Linked DNA regions of Caenorhabditis elegans. The protein of the gene in region 1 interacts with the protein of each later gene in a pairwise test. Each region holds a gene or a part of one and is shown in the gene's direction. Other genes may lie near its edges. The genes, in order: ndx-4 and rpsa-1.

Region 1 (4,332 bases):
CGTTTCAGGTTCTCGACTTCCACAATGTAAAATTCCAAGACTACAACGTTCTGACCGATCAGGAGCTGAGAGAAGGCGTCAAAATCTTCAGCTAATGGCCAACAATTCCACAAGTCTATGTGAAGGGAGAGTTCGTCGGCGGATGTGATATTCTCATTTCAATGCACAAAGATGGAGAGATTTCCGACGAATATGGGAAACAATAAATGCTTTTTCATGTTAAAAATAAAAATTTAGATTTTTTTACTCGAATAAATCATCCAGATTGTATTATTTATTCAGCAAAAAGTGCTCGGTAGGTTGGTCGAAGACGAGTGAAGGGAATTAAATTTCAATAAATAAATGGGGCTCATTTTTACAATAAAATCAGTGAAAAGGGGGTAATTGATAAAAAATCGAAATGTATCCTTATTTCCACAACTTCTTAATGGACATATTCTTCTTCTTAATGGACATATTCTTCATTCTTCTCCGAATCCTTCTGCATAACCTTTCCAACAGCCATCTCGAAATCCTCTCGTGTCACATGAATACGTCGCTAACGGAGCGCAAACATACCAGCCTCGAAACAGACTGACTTGACTTCGGCTCCCGATGCTCCAGGAATTTGCTCGGTGTCGAGGATGTCGATACGGTTGGTTGCCATGATAACCTGAACATATATATTTAGAAATTAGAAAGTTTTTGCATTTTCCCTACCTTAATACTCTTCTTCGTTGCCTCAAATCCATCGAGTTGATTGATCAGCTCGAGCATAGTTCTCTGAACTTCCGAATCTCCTCCACTAGATTCTTTAACTCTGCTTGGTCCGATTGGATCGATTTAATCCATGAAAATGATCGATGGAGCATGCTCACGAGCCATCACGAAGACTTCATGCACCTGAAAGCATTGTAAATGTAAAGATTATTATGTCGATCCACTTACCATTCGTGTTTATTCTCCAATAAACTTCTGCACCAACTCGGAGCCGGAAACTCGAATAAATGTGCACTCAGTGTGATGAGCAACTGCACGAGCTAACAATGCTTTTCCAGTTCGTGGTGGTCCATAGACCAGTTTTCAACAAAAAATTAACTTTAAAAATGACAAAAAGTTATATTTTAAAGGAATGAAAGAAAATAAAATAAAAATCACAATCTCTCGTAAATCCTGCCCGCTTGTCTGCATTTGCGCGTCAATTTATGCGCCGCGTGTTTGCGGCCAATACACCGAAAAACACCGATGAGACAGCTTGACTACACGTGAGCGCCGAGAAGCTTTTGCTCTGTGAGCTTCAAATAGGAAGCTATAAACTTTCGATTTGAAGCCCAACGAGCAGCTTTTCGGCTCTGCTGGGGCGCAGAGTTGCGTTCGGTGGCAGAAACTGGAAAATTCTGAAATTTTCTAAACTAATTTTCGAATTTCCTGCCATTTTTACCCCTAAAATCAACTTTTTTCGAAATTTGGTTCATTTTCTTGTAAGCTACAGTTTTGACGTACTTTTAGAGCTACAGTACTCCAAAATTTTTTTCTAATTTTTAAAATGTTTTTTAGTAATTCAGAAACGCGAAAATGTTTCCAAAAATCAATTTGTCTATAAAAATTGCAGAAATTGAAAAAAACTAGAAGTTTTCTCTATATTTTTTCTAGAAAACCAGAAAATTCTTTTTTTTTTAATTTTTGTAGCAAAATTTCTTAGGAAAATCCAATTATTCACCGAAAAAAAAATTTTTAGGCCGTCTAAACGTCCTTTTCGAATTTTTTTTTCAGTTTTTCTCAATTTTTGCCAAAAAAAATTGGATTTTTCAGTCAAAAATTCAAATTTTCACCTTAAAATTGCACAAAACCGCCCCAGCAGCGCCGAGAAGCTTTTGCTCTGTGAGCTCCAAATAGGAAGCTATAAACTTCCGATTTGAAGCCCAAAGAGCAGCTTTTCGGCTCTGCTGGGGCGCTGAGTTGCGTTCGGAGCACCAAACTCGAAAATTTGAAATTTTCAGCGTAAAGTTTACCGAAAATATGTTTTTGAAAAAAAATTCCGATTTTTCTGATCAAAATTTCGAGTTTCCCGCCATTTTACGCCTAAAATTAATTTTTTTCAAAATTTGGAGCTTTTTGTCGTGTGCTCCTATTTTTTTTAATCCAATTTTAACAAAAAATCGATATTTTCTAAAAAAAAAAATCCAGTTTTTTTCAGCGCCAACAAAAAATGGTCGTAAAAGCCGCGGGACTTGTGATCTACCGGAAGTTGGCGGGAAAAATCGAGTTTCTCCTGCTTCAAGCCTCCTATCCACCACATCACTGGACCCCACCAAAAGGTCACGTGGATCCAGGAGAAGATGAATGGCAGGCGGCAATTCGTGAGACTAAGGAAGAAGCTAATATTACAAAAGAGCAACTGACAATTCATGAAGATTGTCATGAAACACTCTTTTATGAGGTGTGTGTGTGTGTGTAAGAAAATCGATAATTTTTATCGATTTTTTGATGGAAAAATCGATAATTTCCGGCGAAGTATGATATATTCAAAATTTTCGAATTTTTTAATGAAAAAATCGATAATTTAATTTCGATAATCAATAAATTATCGTTTTTCCGATGGAAAAATCGAAAAAATTAAAAATTAAATAATATCCTGCGAAAATCGATAATTTCGAATTTTTCGAATTTTTAATAAAAAATCGATTTAAAAAATTTCGAAAAAAAATCGATATTTTCGAAATTTTCGATTAAAAACCCGAAAAATCGATAATTTTGTGCGAATTTTCGAAAAAAAAATAAATTATCGATTTTTTAAATAGAAAATCGAAAATTTTTTTTGAATTTTTTTTTTTTTTGAATTTTTTTGAATTTTTTAAATGGAAAAATCGATAATTTATTTTAGAAAATCAACAAATTATCGATTTTTCTAAAACTAAATTTTCATTGAAAAATTTTTTGAAAAAAATCTCCGATTTTTCACCAAAAATTCAATTTTTCTGCAATTTTGCGGAAAAAAACACGAAAATATCGATTTTTTCGGAAAACTTATCCATTTTAAGCTTTTTTTGGGAAAATTCGGGATTTTTCGATTTTCTGATAGAAAAATCGATATTTACCGGCGAAAACGAAAGAAATTTCCTTTTTTCGTAAATTTTGTAAAAAAAATTGATTTTTTTTTCACAAGACCCTGAAAATTCAATTTTTTCCAGGTTTTTACACTGAAAAAAATTTTTTTTTTGGTTTTGTGAAATGTATCGATTTTTAGGAAAAATGGCAAAATTTCCGGGAAAATTCTGGAAAAAAACGCAATTTTTCCGAATTTTGAAAGAAAAAATCGATAAAAAATTGGGTTTTCAGCGAATTTACATATTTTTTAAATCGATTTTTCATTTGAAAATTGAACTAAACACTAAAAAAAATCCCAAATTTCGCTAAATTTACAGGCAAAAGGGAAGCCAAAATCAGTGAAATATTGGCTCGCCAAGCTCAACAATCCAGACGACGTTCAACTATCTCATGAACATCAAAATTGGAAATGGTGTGAATTGGAAGATGCTATCAAAATTGCCGATTACGCTGAAATGGGCAGCCTTCTCCGCAAATTTTCCGCTTTTTTGGCCGGATTTTAACGATTTTTCACCGATAATTTCATATTTTTCGAAAAAAAATAATTTTCATTTATTTATTTAATGTAAACTTTTTATTTAATATAAATCTTTTCATACACAATTGTTCATGATGCTCTCTCTTTATCAAAAATATAATGCTCGTAATTATTAATGAATGCGTGTTGTCTCAGAGCCTGATAAAACAGATTTTTTTTCGAAAATTTCAAAAAGTTTTTTAGGGTTCAGAGATCAATTTTGAGTCCTCTAACTGTCCTTTTTTTTAATTTAGGCAAAAAAATAATTTTTCTGAAAACGTACAAAACCATCAATATTTGAAAAAGGGCAATTTTTTAAGGTTTAGAGATCAATTTTGAGTCCTCTAACTTAAAAAATAACCATTTTAGAGAAGTTTCAAAATTGTGATTTTTGCCGTTTTTTTTGCCATTTTTGCCACTTTTTTCTAAATTCAGCATATATAAATGTTACTCCTCTGAAAAAATTAAAAAGTCGTTAACTCTTCCGATAAACCAAATATTTATATTATATTCAAAAAAAAACACATTTAAAACATCGAATCAAGTAGAAAGAATCCATTTAATTATCTAAAATGAGCCATTTCTGGGCAATATGTTGAGCTTTTGCATCACCAATTGGTTGACGAATTCGAACTTTCGCCGACAAGAGACCACCAACTGCTTTACGGCCGTCCTGAAACGAGAAAAATTAGAAAATTTTACGAAAAATCTAATTTTTTATCGGAAAT
Region 2 (3,671 bases), on another chromosome or scaffold:
TTTATCGATTTAACAACTTACAAAGATGTCTGATCTGAACTAACAACGAAACAAACATGCATTTGGCTAATGGGGCAATTGGCCGATCAATCAGAAGTACATCCCATAGAAAAAGCAAATCGTGTAGAGGAAGTTCTCGGCCAAATAATAAGCGAAGCCAACGACTGTAAATATTTTAATTAAATATTTTCAAAAATAAAATAACTCACATTCCATAAAGTTGTGGTGGTATATCAAGAGTACTAAGATGTTTGGCAAGGGTGGGATCGATTTCGTGTAGAAGATTTCCAATATCAATTAGATCTTCCATCAAACGAGATGCAGGAGCGGAATCTTGCACCCTCATGTACGGTTCCTTTGGAATTGGACGCTTTGGACTCTCAGTGACTGTTGGTTCTTCATACCATCTTGATACTTCTAACATCACCGAACAAAACAGATTACTAAAAATATATTATCAATAATGATTGAAATTTATTCACTCACTAGCTATCCTGTTCGAGGTATTCTTTACAAAATAAGCAATTCAAAATATCTTCTTCTTCCACCGTTAGCATTTTCAACTCATCATTCTCTTTTGCATGTTGAAATGCTTCATTGTCCGAATATATCACGAAAATTAGCGGTGCCAGAATTTCGTGCATTCCTTGACGATAATTTACAAAAGGATGCTCCTTTGCATAAACCAAAAGAATATCTGACATCATTTGCCGAATACTTGTGTTTTGAAAGAACTCAATTTCCGGAAAAGTTCGTGAAACATCTTTGCCGATAATGTCACGAAGATCATTGTCCTCGAAAAATGTATTCCATGGATTTTGCTCAATAGAGGCAAGTGGATTGTTGAATTCAGGATCTTGAGAAAACTTTGTATCGTGTGGGTCAATTAAATGATTTTCCTTGTGAGCTCGGTAAAGATTCCGACTACGTGATAAGCTTATTTCCCAATCACTTGTTTCATACGGCAAACATCGAAGAACAAGCTGTAATCAATTGACTTTTGAAGACTAATTTAGAAATGCCGAAACTAATACCCTCCAAACAGCTGATCTACATGAAGATGAACGCAAGGAGCCTGATGCAGCGACTCTTGCTAGGAGATCATCAGAAAGCTTATATTTGATTAGTGACGTCGCATCAAAGCTGAACACATAAATTCTTTAATATTTTATATCCCCATATTATGCACCTGAGAGGAATGAAGAAATTTGCTGATACTCCCGGTGAATTCATGTCTTGATGGTTGTGCGCATTGTGGTAATATCTGAAAAATTTCGAAGTCAGTTTTCTGATAAGGCAACAACTAATAAATTGAGAATCAATTTACCCTTAAGGAACGATGTTCGCTTCTGAATTTATTAATAAATTTTTCCGTAATTCAATTCAAAATTGTCATATTTAAGAAAAAAACATCAAAAATGACAAATTCAATATTTTAATTAATTTTTGCTTTCGTCGTAAATCTACACACGCGTCTCTTCCGTGCGAGAGTCCAAGCCAGCAGCCAAATTCGTTGACTGAGTATTCAACGTTTATACGTTGTCGGCAACGAGAAATAGGAAAATGCATCGGGAAATGTTCTTTTTTCGATTTTTTCCAAGGTTTTGACAAATTTTACCACGAATTTTGCTATGTTTTCAATTAAAAAATATGTTATTCAACTGTTTCTATGAGGAAAATAAGGCTTTGCATGTAATTTTCTTATTCAGCATAATTTTTAATTAATTTGAATTTTCTGTCCTAACGTTTATTTTGTTTTCTTGGTTATGACTGATCTGAAATTAATTTTTGAATTTTAAGGTAATATGTCAGGCGGTGCCGCTCATTCCGCCCTCACTGAGGAGGATGTTATGAAGCTTCTTGCTACCCAGGCCCATTTGGGATCCACCAATCTTAACTTCCAAATGCAGCAATACGTCTACAAGAGACGTTTTGACGGTTAGTTTAAAAAAAATTCAATTCATTTTTCTTGTGAATTATTTAATAAAATTATAACAATTATCATTACAGGACCAAATATCATCAACGTCAAGAAGACCTGGGAGAAGCTTCTTCTCGCTGCCCGCGCTATCGCCGCTGTTGAGAACCCAGCTGATGTCGTCGTTGTTTCGGCTAGACCATACGCCCAGCGTGCTCTTCTCAAGTTCGCTGCTCATACCGGAGCTACCGCCATCTTCGGACGTTTCTCTCCAGGATGTCTTACCAACCAGATCCAAAAGACCTTCAAGGAGCCAAGACTTCTCGTCATCTCTGACCCACGTATCGATCATCAGGTAAGACTTTTCTAAATAGTTGTTTTTTCTAATTATTTAAAATTTAGGCTGTCACTGAGGCTTCCTACGTCGGAGTTCCAGTCATCTCCTTCGTCAACACCGAGTCTCCACTCAAGTTGATCGACATCGGAGTTCCATGCAACAACAAGGTATATATTTAATTTATAAAAAATGTAAATATGTATTTGAATTGTAGGGAGAACGCTCAATCGGACTTATGTGGTGGATGCTCGCTCGCGAGATCCTCATTCTCCGTGGAAAGATCTCCCGTCAAACCGGATTCGTCCTCGAAGGAAAGGAAATCATGCCAGATCTTTACTTCTACCGTGACCCAACTGAGACCGAGAAGGAGGAGACTGGAGCTCACGCTGATGTTGCTGAGGCTCAAGAATACCAACAACCAACTGACATCGACTTCACCACCCAAGGAGGAAAGGTTGACGATTGGGCCGCTGAGACCGCTACCTGGACTGCCGAGACCAAGACCACCGAAGAGTGGGCCAACGCTCCAACCCAGTCTAACTGGTAATCAATTTGTTACAATGTTGGTTCTTTGAAATAAACCTTGTTAACTATGTTATGAGGTTATTGAACAAATTTATATATAAGAAAAGTCAACAGTTATTAAGACCATGTACAGGGACGGCGAACGTTTTAAAGAATTTAATGAATATTACTTGTGCCAATAGACGAGATTAAAATCGTAATCCCATTTTCCTCTTATGTAAGCTTTCAAAAATTACAGTAATGGGATGATGCAAGTGAATTTCTCGTCATTTCTCGACAATTTTTTTGCAATGCAAGTGTGCGGAGAAATGACGTGAAATTCGCAATTTCTCCGCATTTCTCGACATCCACACATACCGTAGTTGGTGACGTTGTTGGCGGCAAATCGCGGCGAGACCCGCTGTGTCGATTTACGAGGATATATCTAATGTTAGTTTTTCGCAATAAACTTGGTTTTTCTGTCGTTCTTGTTCAATTTTCGTGATCTTTTCGCAGTTTTTACTCTTTTTCATGTATATTTATTGAATTCAATATCGTACTTTTCAATTCTCTGCGCAGTCAAACGTCATTTTTAGTTTTATAGCTATTTTCGGTGGCTTAAAGAAAAAAAATTTAAATTTTCCTTTTCAGAGCTCGATATTGCTCCAGTCTGGAAATGATTTGTTGATGTCGTCAGCGCGATGAATTCCGTCACATAAAATATGTACAAAATCGTCAATAACGATCAGAACAAGATATTGGTCATCGCGTAAGTTCAAAAAGTGAATAGCTGGATTATGAATATAATTTCAGAAAGTCAAATGCTCAATCTCTGCGGAAGACTTTTCTACACTCGTGCCTTCCGAAAATGTCGCTCTCTCAGCCTTGGTCGCATAGTTTTGAAATCTGTCA

What was found.
Region 2: the proteins of ndx-4 (region 1) and rpsa-1 interact in a two-hybrid assay, tested with the Caenorhabditis elegans proteins (one large-scale study listed by BioGRID).

Annotation. Positions count from the first base shown.
Region 1 is NC_003279.8:13,791,997-13,796,328, reverse strand, and holds ndx-4 (Bis(5'-nucleosyl)-tetraphosphatase [asymmetrical]), read left to right. Parts: upstream 1-2,176; 5' UTR 2,177-2,188; coding exon 2,189-2,419; intron 2,420-3,404; coding exon 3,405-3,590; 3' UTR 3,591-3,690; downstream 3,691-4,332. Other genes in the region: Y37H9A.5 (uncharacterized protein), read left to right, coding at 9-30; ccct-1 (Coiled-coil and C2 domain-containing protein 1-like), read right to left, coding at 4,164-4,277. UniProt on the Caenorhabditis elegans protein: Asymmetrically hydrolyzes Ap4A to yield AMP and ATP.
Region 2 is NC_003281.10:4,752,181-4,755,851, reverse strand, and holds rpsa-1 (Small ribosomal subunit protein uS2), read left to right. Parts: upstream 1-1,800; 5' UTR 1,801-1,805; coding exon 1,806-1,938; intron 1,939-2,010; coding exon 2,011-2,273; intron 2,274-2,320; coding exon 2,321-2,422; intron 2,423-2,469; coding exon 2,470-2,802; 3' UTR 2,803-2,845; downstream 2,846-3,671. Other genes in the region: rbg-3 (Rab-GAP TBC domain-containing protein), read right to left, coding at 22-164, 210-443, 487-983, 1,035-1,143, 1,190-1,233; B0393.8 (uncharacterized protein), read left to right, coding at 3,482-3,528, 3,573-3,671.